3 linked regions of the Coturnix japonica genome follow. The protein of the gene in region 2 interacts with the protein of the main gene of each other region in a biochemical or structural test. Links are inferred from orthologs where the notes say so. Each region holds a gene or a part of one and is shown on either strand. Other genes may lie near its edges. The genes, in order: GRM7, PICK1 and PRKN.

The links.
Region 1: the proteins of PICK1 (region 2) and GRM7 form a complex in vitro, tested with the Homo sapiens proteins (2 studies listed by BioGRID, with this or other methods). The link is inferred for Coturnix japonica from reciprocal best matches to the Homo sapiens genes PICK1 and GRM7.
Region 3: the proteins of PICK1 (region 2) and PRKN form a complex in vitro, tested with the Homo sapiens proteins (3 studies listed by BioGRID and IntAct, with this or other methods). The link is inferred for Coturnix japonica from reciprocal best matches to the Homo sapiens genes PICK1 and PRKN.

Annotation. Positions count from the first base shown.
Region 1 is NC_029527.1:16,361,644-16,365,289, reverse strand, and holds part of GRM7 (metabotropic glutamate receptor 7), read right to left. Parts: intron 349-3,646; coding exon of another isoform or gene 310-348; exon of another isoform or gene 269-309; coding exon 1-268. UniProt on the Homo sapiens protein: G-protein coupled receptor activated by glutamate that regulates axon outgrowth through the MAPK-cAMP-PKA signaling pathway during neuronal development.
Region 2 is NC_029516.1:46,560,722-46,564,969, reverse strand, and holds the start of PICK1 (PRKCA-binding protein), read left to right. Parts: upstream 1-1,367; 5' UTR 1,368-1,455; intron 1,456-1,481; exon of another isoform or gene 1,482-1,611; intron 1,612-1,807; 5' UTR 1,808-1,859; coding exon 1,860-1,900; intron 1,901-4,169; coding exon 4,170-4,248. UniProt on the Homo sapiens protein: Probable adapter protein that bind to and organize the subcellular localization of a variety of membrane proteins containing some PDZ recognition sequence.
Region 3 is NC_029518.1:40,121,709-40,126,064, reverse strand, and holds the start of PRKN (E3 ubiquitin-protein ligase parkin), read right to left. Parts: upstream 2,804-4,356; 5' UTR 2,693-2,803; coding exon 2,495-2,692; intron 1-2,494. UniProt on the Homo sapiens protein: Functions within a multiprotein E3 ubiquitin ligase complex, catalyzing the covalent attachment of ubiquitin moieties onto substrate proteins. Substrates include SYT11 and VDAC1.

The sequences.
Region 1 (3,646 bases), on a different chromosome or scaffold from region 2:
CGGGGATCACAGCCCAGGGCGAGTGCCACTCCAGCTTAACGATGGGGATGGAGCGGCAGCCGGTGCGGTTCTCGTTGGGCCGCTCGTTGTAGGAGCACAGCAGGCAGGTGACCTCATCAGCCTGGTACTGGTATCCATCGCACAGCTCGCAGTGCCAGCAGCAGGGGATCCCCTTCACCATCTTCTTTCTCTCCCCGGGCTTGCAAGGCAGGCTGCAGACTGAGGACGGGACTTCTCGCACTCCTTTACCCCACTGCATGTCGTCGATCTAGGAGACATGTGAAGCAGAAGGAGGCTGTTATGTGGGTGTTACCACCGGGCTGGGCAGGGGGACCACGGGGCAGCACACTGCAACAAACAAATGGAAAACATTATATGTGGACGACTGTGCTCTTCCAGACTGCACACCAGTGCCTTTATATGGGACTCTAACCCAAGACTATTTACTACAGCCATTTTTTCACGTTTATTAGCAATAAATTTGGGTAGAATGACACAGCGCCAGATAAAACAGCAGTGTGGAAACCCTTCTTGCTGCATGAAAATCAGTGAGAGCACTTGATTTGGCTTATGGGAAAGCAACAACCACACTGTGAGACTGCCTTTTGTGCACCTCAGCAAGACCACAGCAAGTATTCTGCCCTCCTGGAACAACTGCTACAGGGGAACCCTCTGAACAAGGTGGAAATGTACACAGGGGCTGGAACTGGTGAGAATGGGATGAGAGCTGTGTAAGAAATATGAGGTACAAAGAAAACTGTCATCAGTGAAAAACAGTGTAATTAGATAATATTTCATTTCAAAGTCACATCCAGATTTGAAATACCATGCATGCATGCTCCTGGGAATGCAAATTATCAATGACAGTATTAAGTAAATGGAACATCTCATTTGTTCTGTAGTCTGAAGAATCCTGAACTCCAAGTATGTGCTCAAAATACTGCACAAAATTGGAGTCACAAATCATTTCTAGATATTCCAGACTAAAGCCACTGACCAGATGCTAAGAACCCAGGAGGGTCAGCACTGTTGCTCCCCTGCAATAACCCATTCTGGGACCACGGGGAGGTCCTGACAGCCAGCACTGACTCATGGCAGCAGGTCCAGCTCAGCCACACAGAAGAGCTTCAGACTCCTCGACCTGCAGCACATGTGTGTGTGCACGGCTTTTACGAATGCACTACCTGATCTGCTGTGGCAGATGTGAGTAAGCCCAACTAAAACAACACTGCAGCTAATAATTTAGGTTCTTCAGTGTTTACACGCTCCAATATTTCCTACAACTGAGGGAATTTAAGGTGAGCTGCTGGAATCAGCTGTCTGTGATTATTGATGTGTGCAGGAAGACTGGGGTCAGAATGTCTTAAACTGAAGGATTAAGGCGCACCCTCCTAATTTAATTCCAAATAGACCCTGCACCAACTTTGTTTCATATATCTGAAAAAAACACCAAAGCCACAGACTGCTCAAATATTATACTATTGAGAGTCTGCTGCCAACGTTACAGAAATAATCCCTCAATAACAGATATTTGAGAGGTCTGCCACTGCTCGAGAAACTTCATTAACCTTCAATATTCACTGCTTATTCTGAAAGAAAAAAAGACCCAGGAACTCTTCCTTTATGCCGCGTTGAGCTGAAGGCTTGCAGCTTACAGAAGCTGAAGAATGATTCCTCCTTATCACTGCTTTCTGTCTTGCCTGTCTGGAAAGAAGAAAGCTAAGGCAGGGCAACTACCCCTTACCAGTGCTGGAACAGCCACAGAGCGGCATGCCAGCCCAGGCTGGAGCCCCCATTTGCTATCACAGCTACTAACCACAGAATTTACTTGATGCTGGTTTTATGGCGTGCATTGATATGAAACGAGGAAAGCATCCACCTGCACACATTTTGACCCAGCCTACAGCCACGAAAGGGTTCTCACCAATTTTCTACACAGCTCAGAGAACCACAGAGTTATTAATGCATCATCACATCCCCCTACGCCTCCAGACCCAGAAAAAGGAGAATTTCCATATTCTCCAAAGTATCCTGTGCACTGCCAGATAGTGGGAACAGCCTGAAGGTATCTCCTTCTGCACAGATACCGGTGTGAGGAGATAAATAGGAGATCAGGCGAAATTATGGAAAGTTCTTTTCTGGTCTGCTGGGACCACGCCATGATAACTCTGTATCACTGCCCTCAGAAAGGCTCACGGTGCTCTGTTGCTTCTGGCTAGAAAATTAATAATGAAAACTGCTGTCAGATAAACCACCTGCCACCGAGGAAGGCGCTGGGAGCAGAGAGTCTGATCCAAACTGGAGATGCTTTCCCCACAAACACACACAAAGTATTTTTGAAGCGTTTTACCATCTTTGTCATAAATTACTGCTTCATAACTGCATTCAGAAGTGTAAACAAAAGCAACAAACTGTCCAGCTGTGTATTGGGAGCCCTGGGAGCTCATGGCTGTACCTAACATACATTCTATTCTCCTATTCCCAGCCTTTACTGCGGTTTCTTTGAAACAGGCTTTTGAAAACCTGAATCTAGAAATGACTTCTATTGTGTTGAGGAATTGTTACATTCAGTCCCTTCTTTTATTTACTTAAATCTATAAACCTTCTTCTATTTAATGACATTTTCCCCCCAGTACTTCTGGCCTCTTTGAGCTGGAAACGACTTACTTCCAGATTTTGCCAAGTTCAGAGTTTCAGGATCAGGACCTGATGAAAAAGCAAGGATAATTTTTGCCCACAATTACTGTAATAGGACTGTCAACGAAAACAAAACAGCAGAGCATTTCATTCGATACAATCTAATAGCAGCAAACCATGGGATCTGCTGCTGTTAGGTTCAGATAAAAGCAGTATTTTTAAGCAGTCCATATGAAAGCAAGCACTTTTGGTCTTCACTTCTGCCCTCAGCAGCCTGGGCATAGTGCCAGTCCTGCCTGCAGCCTTCCCTCCCAAGATTGGCACCTAATTTGCAGCTGGTCAGAATCTGGATGGCAGATGAGAAGCAGGACAGGCACTTCTTCATGGCCTTCCTTCAATTTTCTTCCATTTCCCCATCCAGAAACCGGAGGTATTGTCAGTGATGTTTACAAACAAAGACCTGCCATTTTTTCCTTAGACTGATGGATGAAGAGTGCTAAGCACTTATAGAAGATTTATAAGTAAATATAAGAAACATGTATCCCATAACAAAAAAAGTAATTACCTGAAAACTCTAATCCTATAACTTAGAAAGCGGTAAGTAAGTAATTTGAGAAGGTACTCTTGCAATAAATACAGATGTTGCCTTTTTTTGGTACAATCTCCTGTTTTGGGACCCACAGCACTGAGGGATTGGCTTTTCCAGCCTCACCCAGAATAAACATCAGCAAGAAATACTCAGTCTGCCTCATAAGGCCTAGCATAATTGTTCATTTTAATGAATAAAGTTGATACATGACTATAATTTAAACATCTCTGCTTCTTTTTGCAGCACCACAAACATTTCTGTAATAAGCTATTTGTTCTGAACCTAATTGTTTCATGCAATGTTTGATTAAAATAAAAGTCAGTACAAAAATAATTACGTTACTGATAATTAACCTTCTCAGGAAAAAGATAGCTACTTTCCCCAATAGGATGTTTATAGCGGCGCTGCCATTAATTTCAT
Region 2 (4,248 bases):
ATAAGGCTGCCCGGAGAGGTTGCGCTGTCTTCTTCACTGGAGATATTCACTCAAGCTGTGAAGTACCAGGCAGGGGTTGGCCTGAGAACGAGAACATAATCACCATACTTATCCCCCAGAACAGAAAACATGCTTGAAGGACAGCGACTGGGGAGGATGTTAGCTCAGCGTTAGTCATGTTGACTCTAAGCTGACAACAGTAGCAGAAAAGCAGCCAGAAACACGAGATTTAACAGAGACCCACTGCAGGGAAATACATCTGAGTGCCAAGAAGCCAACTAGTCATGCAGCGTGTGATCTGCTTGCAGACTCCTTATTACACGTGATGAAAGATGAACAGAAGAGAGTTTGACTGGCGGAGCCTGGCCTGACTTTGCTGTATTGAGTCTCGAAAGGCGGATAAAAGCCTTGTATTTGCTGAGCTCTCTTGATCCAAAGCATACTGGTAGGCAGTGAGTGCTATGTTTTATGATGATGATGATTTTATTTCAGATGATCATTTTCATTCCTTTTCCCCCTCGGGATGAGGTGATCTGCCGGATCTCTAGCACTGAGAAACACAGCCCTAAGGCACACACCATCTCATTCAGAGCCCATCCAACTGACCCCGAACACATCGGATTGAGTGCACACAAAAGGCAGGGTCACCCAGCACGCGTGTACAAAGGCTTCAGGGATGCTTCCGGGATGAAGTGAGGGCCATATTCAATACACACACACACCAGAGGGGAAGCACAAAAGCGGAGCCCATCAGCCACGCTGCCTTCTAGATGGTGCCCACACGGAGGAGCTCCTGCCTTAGGAATGAACCCCAGCTGGGCGGCTGGTGTAACTTTGGAGGCCCTGGAGTTTAAGGAGCTTTCAGCCAGTGCTCTCAGTCGTAGGGTCTGATTTTCAGGTGGTCCTTTATGGAGCCCGATGGTCCCTACGGCTCCCTTCGCACTTAGAGTATTCAGTGTTGCTATGAATTCTCAGCCTAGAGAAGGTTGCGGGGTGACCTCATTGCAGCCTTACAATACCTGAAGGGAACTTTACTCCCAGGAGGGAGTAAACTCTTCGAAGGGCTGATAATAGCAGGACTAGGGAAATGGTTTTAAGTTGAAAGAGGGAAGATTTAGGTTGGATGTTAGGGGAAGTTCTTCACTAGGAGAGGGGTAGGTACTGAACAGGCTGCCCAGGGAGGTTGTGGATGCCCCGTCCTTGGAGGTGTTCAAGGCAGGGTGGACGGGGCCCTGCGGCAACGTGATCTAGTAAAGGGTGTATGTTTGGTGGCCCTGTGCCAGGCAGGGGGTTGGAACTACATGATCCTTGAGCCCGCCACTCTCAAGATGGCGGATGGAGCGTCCCCGTAGCAACGCGGGCGCTAGAGGAAGGGGGGCGGGCTTTGGCTGCGCGCTTCCGGTCGGCTCCGGCGGCGACGCGTCAGCGGCGGGGTCGGCCCGGCCACCTCTAAAGGTCTCGGCTTTGATGTGGGGCGAGCGGCGGCAGCGTGTGACCGAGCCGCGGGGCAGCGAGCGGGGCCGGGGCCTGGGAGCACAGAGCGGGGCCTGCTGCGGGACATAAGGGATCGGGGGCACGGCAGTTGCTTAGGAAACAGAACAAGGCTGCTGTGTGAGCGGGGAGCGGGCCGCGGGGTGTGGTGCTGTGCCTGGAGCAGAGCGTGCGGCCACCTGGTCCCTACTTGCAGCCCTCTATCAGGGCACCATTCGTCATTCAGAAATAGATGGGGTGGGAGTTGACGTTGGTGCCCTGGTGACCCGCAGAGAGCGCGGCCTTACGGGGGTTTTGCTCTGTGCTTTCTTCCTAGGGAGTTTACAAGAAGGTGCTTTCAGACGGTCAGGTTCCAGTTAGCGAAAAGGATGTTTGCTGATTTGGATTATGATGTTGAGGAGGATAAGCTGTAAGTACGGCACTCATCTTTTGTTTTTCTGACAATAGAAATAGTCTTCACAGAACAAAACAAATGGCAGCAGATAGATTTCCATGTTGCTGACAAGGCCCAGGGAGACCTGGACAGGCTTGAGCAGTGGGCCAAGGACCCCCTCACTTGGCCAAGTGCAAGGTCTGGTATTGCATATCGGTATTGTAAGGTTTTGCACTTGGGCTGGAAGAACCCCAGGCACCTGTACAGGCTGGGAGGAGTGGTCCTTGAGAGCAGCTCGGCAGAGAAGACCTGGGGGTCCTGATGGACAAAGACTCAAACTGAGCCAGCAGTGCGCTCTGGCAGCCGGAAAGCAAATGGGATCCTGGGCTCCATCAGGAGAGGGGTGGCCAGCAGGGATAGGGAGGTGATTGTCCCTCTCTGCTCTTGTGAGGCCCCATCTGGAGTACTGTGTCCAGGTGTGGAGCCCTCAGTACAAAAAGACATGGAGATTTTGGAAAGGGTCCAGAGGAGGCCACAAAGATGATCAGGGGGCCGAGCACCTCCCCTATGAGGACAGGCTGAGGGAGTTGGGTTTGTCAGCCTGGAGAAGAGAAGGTTGCGGTGACCTCATTGCAGCCTTTCATTACCGAAGGGAATTACCCCAGGAGGGAGAAACTCTTCGAAAGGCTGAAATAGCAGGACAGGGGAAATGGTTTTAAGTTGAAAGAGGGAAGATTTAGGTTGGATGTTAGGGGAAGTTCTTCACTAGAGAGTGGTTAGGTCCTGGAACAGGCTGCCCAGGGAGGTTGTGGATGCCCCGTCCTTGGAGGTGTTCAAGCCAGTTGGACGGGCCTGGGCAACCTGACGTAGTAAATGTGTATGTTTGGTGGCCCTGACAGGCAGGGGGGTTGGAACTACATGATCTTTGAGGTCCCTTCCAACTCGGGTCATTCTGTGATTCTGTGGTACCTGGGCTGTGGCAATTTCCACTACCAGTACAGGCTGGGGGATGGAGCACGGCCCTACCAAAAAGGACTTGGGGACACTGATGGATGGCAGCTGGACATGAGCCAGCAGTGTGCCCTCACAGCCCACAGTGCCAACTGTGTCCTGGGCTGCACCCAAAGGAATGTGGCCATTAGGGAGAGGGAGGTGATCCTGCCCCTCTGCACTGTGTTGTGAGACCTTTCCCAGAGTACTGAGTTGAATGTGGAACCCTCAGTACAGGAGAGATGTGGGCATGTTAGACCTGTTAGAGCACATGCAGAGGAGGGCCACAAAAATGAGATGTTCCAAAGGGATGGAACACCTGCCCTATGAGAGAGGAAGTTGAGAGAGCTAGGGTTGTTCAGCCAGGAGAAGAGAAGGCTCCAGGGAGACCAGAGAGCAGCCTCTCAGTATCTAGAGGGAGACTATAAGAAGAAAAGGGACAGATTCTTTTCTTTGTGATAGGACAAGGAGAAATGGTTTCAGACTAGAAGAGAGATTTAGACTGTATGTAGACTTACTTTCCAATAAGTCTAGTGGAGTTCCAGTAAGGAACAGGTTGTCTGGGGGTGTGGATGCTTCATCCCTGGAGATATTCAAGGTCAGGCTGGAGGGGCTCTGAGCATCCTGATCTAGATGTAGGAGTCTCTTTCCATTGTAGGGGGTTTGTCCAGATGGCCTTTAAGGCTCGTTTCCAACCAACAGTTCTGATTCTAAGACCCGCTGAAGGGTCAGGCTCGCTGCTCAATCCTGACTTCTTGCTACCTTGGGGAATGGGGATGAAGTATTGCTGTCTCTCTCCAAGGACTGCTCTGAGCTTCTTGTTGCAAGGTAGTCCTAGCAGTGAATTAGTGACCTTAGCTAGAGGGAAGAAAAAAAAAAAGGTTTATAATGGAAGACAGTACGAGGCAGCCATAAGTGGAGAAAACCTCTGGAGACCATGGGTTTGTAAGGAGCACTGGAGTTTTTTGAACAAGTTTTATGAAATCAGCAGTTTCTTTGGCATGGAGTTTCGTTTTTGTTGCACATACTGATCTCTTACTCTGACACAAAGGCAGCTCAAACACTGTTTAAAGCAACAGTGTTTCCTCTGCATCTCTCCCTCCTTCACTCTGTGCATGCAGTCTCAAAAACAACAGCTCAGAGTGTCTTCCTGTGTTGTCCTGTGCTTATAGACTCTGTGGCACAGTGTGCTTAATTAAAGTGTACAATGTCTATCATGTGTTCAGTTTTTATCGTCACTGATACCACAGTTGTACAGATACAGCTCTGTCTGCCATGTTCAGTTTTCCACTATCCATCTCCTTTCTCATTCTAGAGGGATCCCCACTGTACCTGGGACAGTGACCCTGAAGAAGGACTCCCAGAACCTGATTGGGATCAGCATTGGGGGAGGA
Region 3 (4,356 bases), on a different chromosome or scaffold from region 2:
CTAGATATTTTGTACTGTTGTTGTTCTCAAATTTTTCACTTATGTAAAGATCTCAAGTTGGCATTTTCTTCCTTATCCTTATTTCTCTCTAATATTTGTCCAGTCAGCATGCATTTCTCTTCTACAGTATTCAGCTACCATGAAAGATTTTTCCATTCTCTCTGAACAGGAAAACAAATGTAGTTTTCACATTTTCAGTTGTGTTCTGTATCACCTGCACGAGATCCCAAAGTAGCTGTCAAGCCAAATCTAGCAGTTCTGCAAGCTGTGAAACCAGTAAACTTTGTTATCCAGGGATATATTTCTTATATCCCTGCCCCACACTCCTAAGATTATCCCAGCTCATTCCAAATCTCTAAATTCTCCCACAGTATCCTGGGTAAGTAAGCACAAAAGTAATTTATAAAAACAAAAGGAAAAAATGGTCTAATTAGAAATTCTAAGCTACCAAGAACTAAGATTCAGCCATGTAAAAATGTATGTTGTGTTTTGTTTTATTTTATCTGCATGCAAATCATTAGGTCCAGAAAACAACTGTTATTAATTTTCTTCTATGTGATGTTAACTCTGATATTACAGATGCAACATTAATGCCAGCAGTTACTATTTCACTAGCACTCAGCTGCTTATGCAAAAAGCCCCAAATTGCCTTCTGTAGGAAAAGTCAGATATATCAAACCATCTACCATTCTTCTTGTGTTGACAATTTCTACAATGAATAGATAAAAACAATTAAAATAATTAAATACCAGGAATAAAAATCTTGTTGACATGTTGGTATTAATCATTGGATTATGTAAGGCACTTAAATACACAAATATGGATTATGCCACCTGAAATAGCCATTTTACATCCTATATGCTTTAGAAAATGAAAGTCACAGCAATGAACATAGATCCGGTTTATTAGTAAGACTTGGCTACACTTGATAATTCTGTCATTCCTATTAAATAAATTAAGCAAATAGTCAGCAGGCTTCTATATCCAAAAAGCACATTTTAATTTGCACAGCAAAGCATTGTATGTTGTAACTGACAGCAATTTTTTTTAAAGGCAAAAAACATGATTCAATGTCTGTGACATAAAATAGCAGTAACACCAATACCTACAGCTGCTCAGGAAACACTAGGAGTTCATAAGCTTAGGACAGGATAACACAGACAACCAGAACTAGCAACTGGTATCTGGTAATTTCCACTATTTTTCTTCTCACATGTGAAAAAATATAAGTGAAATACACTGCAGTTTACATCACAAATATATGCATCAATGCTATCTATAGGTTATGCATTGTGGACTGACAACAGTTCATATTTCTGTATTGTGTTCTGTCCTAAAACACACTAAAATCCTTTGCAAAATATTGAGTATCTTAACCACAGAGAAATAGGACGGGTCATTAATACAGTAGTAACCCTTCTGTACCCAGACTTAGCATCCATTTTAATTACAGAAATACTTCTGAAACACGACTGCTAATTAACATGAAATACTTCTGCCTGTGAGGGACCTTTTATATAATCACCTGCAGTAGTAGAGACTGTGTCTGTTATTTTGATACAACTGCAGAAGGATAGCAGTTTCATTAAGGCAGTAAATTCAAGAGCACTCTATTCAAAGGCCTTTAGGTTTTCCTATGTTCCTACATGTCTTAGATGTATGATCTTATGCTAACCCCTTCCTGAACATACTCTGAAATTCACATTCACTACTCATAGTATAAATAAAAACAATGATAAAGCAACTGTGGCAGCACTGGGAAGAGTAGTAAAGAGTACAAGGAAGAGAAAATTGAACCTATATTTCCATGCTTACTACAGCTCATCACAGATGAACAATTCTGCACTTATTGAACTGAACAGCTACCTAACCTTGAAAAACTGAAATTCAGATACCCACTTATAGCCATTCTTCCACACTCCTTGCTGCTCTCAGTTTCACACATTTATGAGCTTGGTGGTTTGGATCACACTTCCATGAGCTTTTTAGAACTGGAACCATCATTCCAGCAGTGCGTTCACCTGTGTATGGCACACGGCAGCATTCAGAACAGCAGCAGCAGCCCTGTAGCTATCCTCCAGGGGTCACAATTGGGTTACAAATTCTACAGAATGTGCTGACCGTGCAGCCTGATCTGAAGCAATTTATTCACATCCTTCTTCATTAAGATTCAAATGGAATAAGTAAAATAAAAATTGAACAGATACAGAAATTGTGCATGGCTTGCTTCTGTAGTCAGTAAACATTTATTCACTAGGCACAGCTCTCTCCCATACTCTCTCACTCATATGCTCTCCCTATCCTTCCTGCTTGCTGTTTTAATGCATAATTAAGAAGGTCAGAATTAATGAAGCAGTGTGGAGTAAAGTTCAAGGAATCCCCAGGCACTATTTATTCTATTAGATCTCAGGAATGAATGTCAGATTGGCAGCATTAGAGGCAGAGGCAGCAGAGCTGGCAGCAGTCCAGGAGCAAAGCTACCACAGAGGCTTACCTGCAGCGTTAAGTCGTTGCTGAGCTCTCTCCCTGCAAAGATCACCCGCAGCTGGTCAGCTGGAACTCCCTGTCGCTGCGCAACCGCCTCCTTCAGCTGGAGGATGCTGGCTTCCAACCCAAGCTCCACCGGGAAGCCATGGCTTGAGTTGAACCTGACAAACACTGAAAAAGAGAAAACACCTTTTAAAGCAAACATTTCTCACTGCCGGTCTGTACTAGAGTGACTACAAGTGGCTTATTTGTCAATTTCAGAGAGCACTGACTGTTTTAAGAGAAAAGCTACTAATACTGTAGTGTATAATTTGGAAAAGAGGAACTGTATGGGATTTCCCTTCACAGAATAGCTAGTGACTAATAAACAAAAGCCACGTGCTTCCCCCAGCAGAGCTATAAATTGAAGAGAAACATCAGAACCAAAAGGGACCCATCCAGCCAGCAGTCCAGGCAACCACTAAGTCCTGGAACAAATCTCTGATCCACAACTGACCTTAACAGACACAGGACACACACACTTTCTATGCCCCTTGTGCTCTTTCCTGCTGCACGTAACAAATGCATGCAGAAAACTGAGTTTTAGAGCTAAGTTACATTAAATAATACTAAGCAAAACAATTCACTGTTATACTGCAGAGCACGGTCACATAAATTGGTTCCCCACAGATACAATTCTGTGGAAGGTAATGATGGAGAGAAAAATCACACGCTAGCAGAAATGTTTGGGAGTGTTGTATTACACTGTGGTCTTTTCAGAGTTCACTAAAACATCTGCAGTACATAACTCCTGCTGGCATGTTCCTTCAGTGCAGGAAATCACTACCGCACTCGCCATATCATTTTTAGAGCTGCAGAGAGTGGTTTATATATCCTGAGAAGCCTGGCAAATAAACTCATGAGCTTACAGCCATTCAGCTGGCAGTGTTGTTTTTCACAAGGGTGCTGAATGTGCTCATTGAGCCCTTGACCAGGGGAGTGACTACAAGAACTATGCAACAAGAAAAGCTTGACTACATCCATACCAGTCACTAAGGCTGCATAAACAGTACACTCAATCCCAGTGGGCTGCTTCAGCCAATAAACAGTTCCACTAGCACAAAGCAAAGGAATTAGCAAGTAATATAAAGCAATAAAATCATTTGTATCAATTAGTCACTGGCTACCTGACATTTGAACTGTTTAGGTATTGATTGCAATAACCATCCCTCTTGAAGATTTCCCATTCCCACTGCAATGTTCTAACTGAAGACATACTCCTTTGAATTTTTTATGAGTGACAGATGCATAAATTCAAAAGTGCTCATACAGTTTGAGGAAATCTATTTTTAAACTGACAATAGGATCAATGATTTTCCAAACACAAAGTGTACCTGACTGCTGTAAAGGAGTCAAATGCTTTAAAAGCATGCGAATATAGTTGAGAATGATGGCGATTTTTTGCTGAGCAATGAACGTTGTAAATATTTGCAATTTTACACCTTTAATATAGATTTTGCTATTTCTGGATAATCTTTAAGGCCATAGACCAATATATTTTTTTACACAACATTTTGAGTTTTGCACATCCTCTAAATTTACTAAAAACCAGGATAGGATTACATAACACCGTGTCAGGAGGAGTGCAGTACATACGGCCTACAATGTGTTACAGAGTCTCCTGCAGTACATCTTGTTACTGGGTTTGATTTCTATATAAAGATGTTCTGGAAATAACTGAAATGTGCAATTCTTGTATATGGATTTTTTGAAAGAGTGAGTGTATTTTGAATTTTAGTTTGATTGCAGTTTGAGAAGTAAAGAGCAAAATAGAGGGCAAAAGTAGTTCCAACTACTGAACACTTCCTGCATTCCCAGGAACACTCAAAA